Linked DNA regions of Sus scrofa. The protein of the gene in region 3 purifies or fractionates together with the protein of the main gene of each other region. This does not show direct contact. Links are inferred from orthologs where the notes say so. Each region holds a gene or a part of one and is shown on either strand. Other genes may lie near its edges.

What was found.
Region 1: the proteins of CPSF2 (region 3) and SYMPK purify together in Homo sapiens (co-immunoprecipitation; 8 studies listed by BioGRID and IntAct, with this or other methods). This does not show direct contact. The link is inferred for Sus scrofa from reciprocal best matches to the Homo sapiens genes CPSF2 and SYMPK.
Region 2: the proteins of CPSF2 (region 3) and CSTF2 purify together in Homo sapiens (affinity purification with western blotting; 3 studies listed by BioGRID and IntAct, with this or other methods). This does not show direct contact. The link is inferred for Sus scrofa from reciprocal best matches to the Homo sapiens genes CPSF2 and CSTF2.

Annotation. Positions count from the first base shown.
Region 1 is NC_010448.4:52,149,370-52,153,015, reverse strand, and holds part of SYMPK (symplekin), read left to right. Parts: intron 1-898; coding exon 899-980; intron 981-1,151; coding exon 1,152-1,265; intron 1,266-2,243; coding exon 2,244-2,391; intron 2,392-3,343; coding exon 3,344-3,504; intron 3,505-3,646. UniProt on the Homo sapiens protein: Scaffold protein that functions as a component of a multimolecular complex involved in histone mRNA 3'-end processing. Specific component of the tight junction (TJ) plaque, but might not be an exclusively junctional component. May have a house-keeping rule.
Region 2 is NC_010461.5:82,522,212-82,525,857, reverse strand, and holds part of CSTF2 (cleavage stimulation factor subunit 2), read right to left. Parts: intron 2,621-3,646; coding exon 2,558-2,620; intron 160-2,557; coding exon 100-159; intron 1-99. UniProt on the Homo sapiens protein: One of the multiple factors required for polyadenylation and 3'-end cleavage of mammalian pre-mRNAs. This subunit is directly involved in the binding to pre-mRNAs.
Region 3 is NC_010449.5:113,658,599-113,662,838, reverse strand, and holds the start of CPSF2 (cleavage and polyadenylation specificity factor subunit 2), read right to left. Parts: upstream 2,902-4,240; 5' UTR 2,775-2,901; intron 1,453-2,774; exon of another isoform or gene 1,335-1,452; intron 1-1,334. Other genes in the region: NDUFB1 (NADH dehydrogenase [ubiquinone] 1 beta subcomplex subunit 1), read left to right, coding at 2,902-2,949, 3,080-3,257. UniProt on the Homo sapiens protein: Component of the cleavage and polyadenylation specificity factor (CPSF) complex that play a key role in pre-mRNA 3'-end formation, recognizing the AAUAAA signal sequence and interacting with poly(A) polymerase and other factors to bring about cleavage and poly(A) addition.

The DNA.
Region 1 (3,646 bases), on a different chromosome or scaffold from region 3:
TTCCTCCGCGTGTGCATCCCTTTTCTCCCTCTTCTCCCCACTGTCTGCACGACAAGGTTGCTTCCGTGCAGGCTTGGAGCCCTGTGCCCCGGGCTTGTTCTCTGGCTCTGCTGCTTGCTCTCTGACCTGTGTCACTTACCCTCTGAGCCTCCATTTTCTCATATAATACATGACGAGTAACAGCGTCTGCTTTGGAGGCTGGTTCCCGAGGTTGACTTCTCACCATCCCCACCTCTTGCCCACATCGGTTCTGTAGCTTCCTCCGTGTCCTGGATTTCCAGCTTATTCATTCTCCACATAGCAGCTCAGGTGACACTTTATAAATGTAAACCGTGTCTTGTTATTTCCCCACTAAAAACCTTCCATTGTCCTCAGCTAAAATGCACCTCCTTACTGTGTCCTATGAGACCGTGTATAATCCAGTCCACGCCAACCTCTTCAGCCTCTTTTTTGCCTCCCTGCATTTCACTGCCCCCGAACTTTAGCTCGCTGGCCTTCAGTCTCCTGTTCCTCTGATAGACTCACTCTGCTCTACCTGGAATGCTCTCCCCCTACTTCTTCCGTGGCTGGCTCTTTCTCCTTTGCCAGCATTGACAACTGTTATCTCCAAGCAGCCTTTTCTGGTCACCACATCTCAAAGAACAGCCTCCCGTCATCCCCTCCCATTGCTATATTAAACAAGCTAGGAATCTCCATTTGAAAAATGGGAGCAACTGAGTTTCCAAGAGGTCGTCTCTGCCCAGGACACCCACCTGGCAGTGTCTGAACCCTGCTCTGTTGCTTCCAGAGCTCTGTATCCAGGGGGTTGAGCAAGCTGTTGGAGGGGGGCACTTTCAGTTCTGAGCTATGATCAGCAGGATAGGGAAGCCAGCCGTTCCCTACCCCCCCTCTCTGGCAGGATCTTCACCAAGGTCGTGCTGGAGGCGCCACTCATCACGGAGAGTGCCCTGGAGGTGATTCGCAAGTACTGTGAGGATGAGGTGAGGACAGGCGGCAGATCTCCCGCCACTCCGAGCATCATGGTACAGGCAGGGGGTTCTGGGAGGGACCGGATGCTCTGGTCCAGTCCCAGGTCTGGCTGAGGCAGGGGAGACCTCCCAGTGGTGCCCTGCAGGGGCCTTGAGCTCTGGTTCCCCTCCTTCCTGCCGCAGAGCCGCACCTACCTGGGCATGTCCACTCTTCGAGACCTGATCTTCAAGCGCCCATCCCGTCAGTTCCAGTACCTGCACGTCCTGCTAGACCTCAGCTCGCATGAGAAGGACAAGGTGATCCCCCACCGCCCTGTGCTGTGCTCCACTCAGTCCTTCCTCTGTCCCGAGTAACCAGCCCAGCCTTTTCCACACTCCCCTGAAACTTTCTGGGCTTAATGTGCATCTTACAACAGTCTTTTGGTGGTGGTGGTGGTTTTTCCATTTATGATGGCGTGAAGCTGCTTAGAAGGTACACACATATATATACTCACACCCCAAGCAGGGCAGGCCCGTTCTCGCTCTTATTCTGCCTGTGTTGTACGCCCCTCTTAAGGCCCCACTGTGCTGGGACCTGGGAGGAGCCAGTGTGACCTACCAGCAGACACCATGTGTTCAGTGCCAGGAGTGGAGTAGTGTGTGACTGCAAAGCCCTGGCGAGGGGGTTGGGGAGGGGGTGGTTTAAGGAAGCCTCCCGGAGTCGGGACGTGTGAGCCAAGACCTGCAGTAGGAGTAGATGGCTGCGCCCTGGTCAGATGTGCCTCGGTGTGATGGAGAGGGCCCGCGACCATCCCTGCTCCTGCCTTCAACCCGCTCCTTTCTGGTGTCTTGTGTCCGTTCATTCAGCAGACCCTGACTGCACACTCTGGCTCGGCCCTGGGGTGCTGCTGGGAACAAAGCAATGCCCCAGACCAGGCTCTGTCCTCTTGGCTCCCAGCAGGATATAGCCAGCGACAGGCAGTCCAGGCAGTGGGAACTTTGTGTGCCAAGTCTCAGTGCCAGGGAGAAGGCCGCCACTTGTGAGGAACTGAGGAAAGCTCCTGGTTGGAGCAGGGCAAGCAGGGCCAGACGTGATAAGAATGGAGCCAGGCAAGTAGATGGCGAGGTGATGCAGGGCCCTCAGCTGGGCCAGGAAACCTCCCTCCCAAGCCAGTCTTGGGCACAGGTAACTCAGCTAGGCCAGGCCTTCCTCAGACTTGGGCTTGTTTTCACACTGGCTGCCAAGCTCAGGACAGCTGTTGCCCCCTCCACCACCTTGCCCTCCTCTCTCCTCAGGTACGTTCCCAAGCCTTGCTGTTCATCAAGCGCATGTACGAGAAGGAGCAGCTGCGAGAGTATGTGGAGAAGTTTGCCCTCAACTACCTGCAGCTCTTGGTCCACCCCAACCCACCATCTGTGCTGTTTGGAGCCGACAAAGACACAGGTTTGGTACAGGTTCTTCAGGGGTGTGTTGAGCACCTGCTGCGTCCCAGGCTCTGGACTGGGCCCTGGGGTCAGAGCCTGCTAGAGAAGACAGCTAGACAGCAGTAACCGAAACAAGCAGGCTTTGGGTGGCAAAATCAGGGGTCTGTGGGAGCCCAGAGGGGGTGCCTGGCCCAGCCTGATGGGTCAGGGAGAGGGTCCTGGAGGTGTGGGGACAGCTGGGTGAAAGCCGAGGACAAGGACAGCTTGCCAGTGATGCAGCTCCAGGCAGGATCATATCAGGCCCACTCACTCAGCAGAGCTCTGGGTCCTCCGTGTGCCAGATGGGGAGACTCTGGCCCCAAGAGGATGGACCATAAATTGGAGGCTGTGGCAGGAAGCACGGGGCCTTCTAGGAGCACAGGAGCCCTGGAGCAGCCTGAGTGTTGGGAACCCAGAGGGTGTGAGACCCAGAGGATGAGGAGGCACCACAAGAGGAGTTGGGCGGCAGTGTTCTTGGTGACAGCAGCACGTGTAGAGGCTCCAAAGTGGAGGCCTTGGGGTCTGTCTGAAGTGGGGTGTGACCAGAGTGCAGGGCCCCAGAGGCAGGGCTGCCCTGACCAGGACCTGTCAGGTAGAGCAGGGCGAGGATCTGGGGGCTTGTCCTGAGAGCACAGGACAGTTGTGGGAGCACTGAACAGGAGAGGGACAGGGTCAGAACTGCACTTAGGAAGATCTCTCTGGCTGCCTCGTGGACTGGTGGTCAGAGGAGACAAGGTGGGCACTGAGTGCCGAGACTTGCGGAAGGGGAGCCGTCCCGCTTCCACCCCCACCTCCTAGAGGACAGGCTTCCTGCCCTGGGGACTTTTGCTTCCCAGCTCAGCTCCCTCCTGTGCCTGCCTCCCAAGAAGGACCAGACCCTGAGGGTGGGAGGGGAGCAGGCCTCACCTGATCTTCACCTCCTGCCTTACCAGAGGTGGCAGCGCCCTGGACCGAGGAGACAGTAAAGCAGTGTTTGTACCTCTACCTGGCTCTCCTGCCTCAGAACCACAAGCTCATCCACGAGCTGGCAGCCGTATACACGGAGGCCATCGCCGACATCAAGAGGACTGTGCTAAGGGTCATCGAACAGCCGGTGAGGCCCCTGAGCCCACCAGGCTCTGCCCACGCATGGGCAGGGCTAAACCCCCAAATCAGCCCTTCCCCCGATAGCTCCTCCTCGGTGTCTGCTAAGCTCTAAGGGTTGTCACCCCAGGCCCAGCAGCTCTGTGGCTTGC
Region 2 (3,646 bases), on a different chromosome or scaffold from region 3:
GGTTCTGAACGTGAGGATGACTGCCAAGCAGCTCTTGTCCTCTCAACGTCCCACCCTGAACACCACAAGCAAAAGGAAACCCGCAGATACAATGGGTACCTTGAACTCGCTCAATTGATGCAGGCCCGGCGGGTCCCACGGGCGAGTGCTGTAGGGTTCCTAGGTGAGCAGTAAGTTCAAAAGGAGAAAGAGCAGACACTTAAAATAGCTTGCACACTCACACACACACACACACACACACACACGCAGAAGCATACACATACAGACACTGGAGATTTAGACATATAAGTTAAAAAGCCAAGAGTTCATTAACTTGCCCCGGACTACAAAATCTTCCTAAACTAAATTAGCTTCTTTGGATCTGAAGCTGTTCTGCTTTGATGAGATTGCTTCCTAAGATAAAACCTGTGGGCCACTGATTTTATCTGAGCAGGAATAAGCAGCCACTTTCAATGTTCACCTCTGTTTATGATTCCCCTTAAATCTCCTTATGATACCATTCAAAAAAAGAAATTAAATATAAAAAGGATGGTTCTGAATCTCTGGTTAGGCAAAGAACATAAATATATTTTTCATAAACAAAAAAAAAAGAAAGAAATTGTACTGAATCTGGAAGGCAAGATTAATTCTGGAAAGGTCCACAAAAGAAGTTCATAGTACTATTTTTTTGGCCATATTTTAAAGTACAAAAATTTCTATCAAAAAAGTATCAAATGGGGAAATGCAGTGAATGAACTTTAGACAAGGAAAGAGAATATCACTCCTCAAGAAATACTCTGCCACTGTAAGTCTGTGATAAACAAACATATGACAACTGCAAAGACATATGATGACAAGGGCACCAAGACTAAACAAAGGTGGCAGAGGGCAAGAAGTATGTTCTTAAACATCTCATTGTTTCTTTTCACCATTACAAATGTGCAAAAGAAGAATGGATGGCAGGAAAAGAAAGACCAACTGGGTACAAGTAGAAAGATTCTTGCTTCCTCTGCTGTGCGCTAAAGGAAAACTATAAAACTCACCTCATTTTGTCTCTTCATGAAGACGTTTTTGACATACCTTCAAAACTCAAGTCACTTCCCTTTGTTAACTTTTGACCAGAAAGGTGAAGATAACTACATCAAGAAGGAAGATGTCTTACAGAAGTGTGTATTAAACAGCTAAAGTTTGATTGATGGCTGGGGAAGAGGTAAAAGTATGACTGAAACCCTAATTCCTTCTCACTACTGCAAAAATACTTTGGGGAACATACATGATCTACTGATAGTGGCTGAGGGCAGTGGGGCACAACAGCACAAAAGCACGGGCTGCTCAGATGAAGTGTTTGGACAAGAGCTTGTTCCACTGTCAAATGTTTGACAAGATTGTTAGTTGTGTCACTTCGGCAACCAACCCCAGTGTACAAACCATAGACAAGGAGTAGAGTGCATAGGTCTGTATCTTAGCATTTTGCTTTTTAAAAAAATGGGTTTTCCTTATAGACCATATGCTAATAAGAAGTAACTTAAGCTTCCCCAGGCTTGTCTAATGCAGTTCTTTCTCATCACAAGGGCACAATGAATAAAAATAGAAGACATTAGAGAGCATCTTTAGAAGTTAATAGAAGCAGCGTGGTTTAGCAGAAAGAGAATAGATTTTGGAGCTAGAAACTTTGGAATCTTAGCTCTGCAGCTTATTAGCCGGAAGATGAGTGCACCAAGCCCAATCCATGTTACTTGGATACCAGTATTTACTTACCGTGTCCCCTTGAGGAGTAACTCAAAACTCTGAGCTTCCAGCCCTTCACCTGAAAACTGAGGTGCTGCCAGCTAACTCACATGATGGTTTGTGAAAATTAGAGAGTGTGGCCTATTGGATGCACTCATTTTTACTCTTAGTTCCTTCTCTTTTCCCTCTTTCTTCCTGATGTTGTTTTTAAGCAAATCACTGCAGTTTCTGTTTCTTCAAACTCCAGTATCACAGAGAAACACATGGAGATTCTGGAGTGAACGCCACTGTGGTATGCAGTGTTACTGCCACAGCTCAACATACACTTACCAGACAGGCTTCACAGACTTTTGATCCTTGGGGTTGAAATTTATCTTCTACATACACAGACACATATTATATGTTCAGTATTAAAACATCTTAATCAGATCTCCATAGAGGGAGAGAGAACGTGTCAGGAGAAGCATTAAATTACTAAGAAAAGGTGATATAAGTGAAATAGAAACAAAGGAATCATCTGCTCTGTCATCAATTCTTGTACAGCCGGGCTCTGAATCACTAGATAGAAATCTAGACAGCTGTGTCCAAAAGAATCTTCTGCAATGATGGAATGTTCTGTACCTGCAATATCTACTATGGCATTCACCAGCCACAAGTGGCCATTGAGCCCTTAGAATGTGGCTAGTGTGAATGAGGAACTAAGTTTTAGATTTTTACCTAATTTCAATTTGATTCAATTTAATTAAACATTCAAATAGCCACACGTAGTTAGTGGCTGCCATATCAGACAGTGTAGATCAGAACACTTCCAAATCTAGATCACATTAATCAGACATTAATATTTATTTACCTTGTCCCCGCTCCATGGATACTGGTCCACTTCCTGGCATTCCAACCTGGGCCTGCATTCCTCCTAGAAGATAAAGGGTAGGAAAAGAATTAGGACAATGGAGAAAAAACGTGGACCATGCCTGAGTTAATAATTTTCCTCTTCCTGCCCCACAAGCAGAAATCTACAAAAGAAGGTCATAACAACCACTAAACAACGTAGTTACACAGAAAATGCAGTTTGTTAGTGCACTTTAGGCTTCAGTGACAGAAAAGTGAGTTAAATACGAATTTTTAAGCTCACTGGTTACCAAAACCTTGGCAGGGAGTTCTGTAACACAGAACAAGGGCACTTACCCAAATAACTCCTCCCACAGGAAGCAGTTCTGTTCCCAGAGTACTTTGTAAATGTGTGGGTACGCTGTTTCGGTTGTGACAGATTTGAGGGAGGGAAGGCTGGCATCTTACAAGAAGCCAATAAGGATATCAGGTGTCCTTCAGTGTATGAGACAGTCCCACAAAATCAAGAATTTGCCTGCCTTGCAAAACGTTCAATTATCTTGCTAAACATTCACACAAATGAAAATTTTTATAGTCATCTGAACTTAGAACCTGTCTGTTTTACTTGTAAACAAGAAGGTTCTTTGTCCTGTATATATATATGTGTGTATAAATATATATGAATACACACACACACTGAATTTTCCAAAAATGAAATTATTGAGTAAATTATGGGTACTTTATTTTGTTTTGTTAAGAACTTTCACCAAAAGTTTTCATTTTCGCCATTTCAGAAAATCACATCATCAGTGTCAATAGTTCTTGAGGTATCTGAGTTGCCAAAACAACATACGTGGGTCTTTTACTTTTATAGTATAAATTCAAGTATCTGACTGCTATTTTTTGTTTTCTAGTGTAGTTGTGCTTGAAATTTGCGTATTAAAAACGTTCTTTTTCCCTTTCCTTCTCCTTTATATTATAGTTAGGGTTTTTTTTTTTTTGAGAAACTGGTGTTTTTTGAAACTACGTTAAGTGTGTTGTATCATCTGTGCAATTCATTTTAGGATAGCAAAGGGTCACTGCAAAAATATGTTACAAAAAAAGAGGCCAC
Region 3 (4,240 bases):
GCACACCATCATATAAGCAAAAAATGAAAGAAAAGCCCTAATGAATAGAAAAGGGCCAGCTAATGAAAGGCCTTGGAAACTCTGGACCTAGTTCTAACTGTTGGACAGAACAGGTAACAAAGAGATATTTTAAGATCAATTATAAGATGACAGGATATAGGCAGTTCTGCAGATTCAAAACATTTGCTGGTATGTGTGATTGTTTAGATAAAGTCGGTGGTCAAAGCAGGGAGATAAAAAAAAAGAGAGGATTTAGCAGCCCCCTCCCTCCTTTCACCTTTGCTGGTGCTATTTTGAGACTAAACTTCTTCAGCCTCAAATGCACCTTATAACTCTGCGACATGAGTTCACGAGTCATTGTCTAAGGAACCAAGGCTAGAAACTCTACATGTTTGATTCCTCCCTTTGCTTCTTGAACAGACTGTTACCACCTCCGGAATTACTCTCCCCTTAGAATTCCTTGTACATTTACCATTCCCTCCCCATTCCGACAGCAAGTACCTTAATACAGGGCCTCATTGCCTTACATTTGGGTTTCTGTTTCTTGGCCTCCAGCCTTTCCTCCCTTCATCTCAACCTAAACCCTACTGCCAGATTAATCTTCTGAAACACCCCCACATGTATGAGTCCTTGCTTAGAAATCTCTGAAGGCTTCCTACAGTCTGAAACAACCAAACCTGGAGGGTGCCAGCAAGCTGCCCTGACAGCACTGCTGACCATCACCAGTTTAAGGCCCAGCCTAAATTCCACTCCTCACTAATTCCTCTATCATTCATCTAGACTAGTACGGCTCTGTCCAATAAAAACAGCATGCATATCAAATGTAATTAAAATTTTTTTTCTGGGCCACATTAAAGTTTTACAGGTGAAATTAATTTTATTTAACCCAACATATCCAAAATGTTATCATTCCAACATGTAATCATTTTTAAGAAACTGGTTTTTTTTTTTTCAGTCCTAAATCTTCAAAATCCAGTGTGTATTTTATATTTACAGCACAACTCAATTTGAACTGACCACAATTTCAAAAGCTCAGCAGCTACATGAGGCTGGTGGCTACTGGAATAGCACAGATAGCAACTCTGAACATGCTTTGGACTGTGGAGCGTTGTGCTCTGTCACCCCTAAAGTGCAAGGAGGCACCGTCCTATTTTTATGCACATCTCAGACTAGACTTTAATGGTATCACCAACCACTTAGTCTCCCAGACGAAAAATTCTGAAGTCACCTTCTTACCACAAATTGGCTGCCACCAGTTGAATTCCTTTTTGACATTTCAGAAATGTCTAACATCCTTTACTATCTTTCCCCAATGAAGGCACTCATTTCCTTACCTGAATGACTGCAATTTCCTCTCATTCAGTTCCAAGTTGATCTTCCATACAGCTATCAGAGAGACCATCCTACAAAAAATAGCCTCATGCCCCCTTCCTTGTGCAAGGCAGTCATTGGCTAAGTACCAAAGAAAATCTCACACCTTCCTTGGAAAGCAAGGTCCTTTACAAGTTTACCTCAATCTTCCTCTTGCTTCACCAACCACCCTTGCACAGCATGCTCAAATACATTCATTCTCCCGCTCTCCCCAAGCTTGCCAAAACTTCTCCAGTCTCTGCATCCCCGCACTGCAACCAAGAATGACCTTCCCGTGAGCTTAGTAAATTCCTTTTGGCCCTTCACGACCCAGCTCAAATTTACTCTTTTATAAAGCTATTCTGGTGTCTCCAAGCAATGGTATTTACATTTAGCTGGCACAAGTGGGCACAAAGAATAATGGTGAATGGATGTTGAATGGCATGAGAGAAGCGTTCAGGTGAATCTTTTAATCTCCAATACGGAGCACAGCGTTCAAAGCAACGTACATGTGTACTGAAAGGAATGAACCCTCACGACATCATAAATTGCTGCTGGGCAGCGGTTTTTGACCAACACCATTTCATCTTAACTATCTATCAAAGTTACTTGCTTTCTTAATAACGATTGTGGGTGCATGTTAATGACAACTAAGGGGAATCAGCAAAGTCTAAGGAAAATGAGAGTCTGGGTTAACCTCGAAGACTCGTAAGAAGTCTCCTCCTGGTCAGTTCCGGGAGAGCACTGGTTTCCTAACAGGATCAAAGGGGTTCTAACATAAAAAACATTAAAATATTATTAGGGCATGGGCAATTGCTCACTCAAGTTCGCCTGGTCACAGGAAGCCAGACTTGCCAGGGTTAAAATTATTCTGACCTCTTGTTTACTGAAGAGTACGTAAATAATGATAATACGGGAAGTGCTCAAAGGCTATGGGGGGTAGGGGGGAACCGAAACTTTTTTTAATAAAGCATGGTAAGGTCTTTGAGTCGATTAACTAAAGAGGACGCCTGCTTTGTGGCCAGTAGCCTCGTGGTCTCTCAATCCGAGGCGACAGGAAGACCCCAAGCGAGGAGGCTGAGAACAAGGCAGCCACAAAGCTAAGGAGCCAAAGCGGACGTCGGATTAACTCCTCCGGCGCCGAGACTCAAAGGGGAGGGAAACAGCAAAAAAGAGGGAAGGAGAGCATGGGACTGAATCGTAGGAACTGCCACAACAGAATCGGGAGCTTCAGACCCATGAAGAAATCACTGTTTCCCTCACTGAGCACTTCGGCCGGGAATGACCAGGAGAGTCACAACCGAAACCCCAGGCGCGCGTCCCTGGTGGAGACCGAGTCAGAGTCGGAGCCAGGCTCTCCCCGAGGGCCGAGGACGCCCCCTCCCCCATCCAAAGGCGCACTGATTTCTTCCGCCCCCACTTGCCTCGTCAGTCCTCCCCCAACGCCGTCCACTGCCCTTCCCAACCCCTAGTAGAATCCAGGTTCAAGAACGAGAAAAGCTGATGTTGGCTCAGCAGCACCCGTGACGATCTGCCAGCAGAAAACCCTCAATGGCGGCCGCCATTTTGAAACTGGAGGAGACCCGCGGAGGCGGGGAGGCGAGGGGTGATACCATCTTCGGGGGCGAGGGGTGACAAAGCTGGAGGAAGGAGGTGGTGCTAACACCAACTCTTCACCTGGGAACAAAATTTTATTTTTAAAGGCTGTATAATGTGTTAAATCTTAAAGAAATGTGATAAGAATCAAGGAGTGAAAGGAAGAAGATTTATGATTTCCCGGAGCCACCCCTCTCTTCGAGCGGGCCCGGCGAATGGTAGATCCCGAGGCCACAGCTTCCGCCGGCGCTGGTGGCTGGGTTCACCGCTGCCCTTGGTCGTGGGGGTCGTTGTTGGCTCTGAGGCCGCAGGTGGGTCTGGGGTCGAGGCGTTGGAGGCGGCTAGAGTTGCTTTTGTGCAGGCGGAGTGGGGTGAAGTTCTAGGAAAGCCTTCTGCAGCCTGTGTACGGGGAGGTGCGGGGGATCTGGGACTTTGCAGGACTGGAGCGGCGCGGCTTCCCAGGCTTCCCAACGAAGGAGAGGGGGACAGGGGAGGGGGGGCGGAGAGGGCGTTGCTTTCTGGAGGACCGCTGCGCTCAGCTTTCCCGTCTGATGCCTTTTGAAAAGGGTACTCTGAGGCTAGCATAACTGGAAAATGTCTTTTGATGTTGCCCGAGCGGAGGAGACACTATCTGGGATCACAGCTCCTAGGCTGCAGGAGAGAAGGGGCTGCTTCTCCAGAAAGATCTCCGATTCGTCCAAGTTTCAGAGTTCTGTCTTGCTTGTTACTCAGCATCGCAACCTTGCTCTGTTCTACATCTCAAATCCTCTTGAGCCCACCATTCCACAAAATATGCACTTTGTAAAAACTTAATTTTTAAAAAAAGGATTTATTTGTGCTTTATTTCTAGCGTGTGTATGTTGTTAAGACAGGGTTCCAGACCTCAAGGAGTTTTCTGGCTCCCGACTTTTTTTTACGTTAAGTCGACACATTTTGATCAATACATATAAGTGCAATAGAGACTAATTAGAGAATAGAATTTATTTTTTTAATGTCTAATCAACTATTATTACAACGTGAGTTTGGAAGGACTTAGAAAAATACACACCATATACAGTCTTCTTTTGAGAAGTTAAGAGAGAGAAATGGATTGAAGAAAATGTAAATAATACAAGCATACCTCATTTTATTATGCTTCACTGATATTTTTTAACAAATTGAAGTTGTGGCAACCCTTGTCAGATGATGGTTAGCATTTTTTAACAATAAATTATATTTTTAATTAAAGTATGTACAGTGTGTTTTTAGACATAATGCTATTGCATATTTTAAATAAACTGTAGTATAGTGTAAA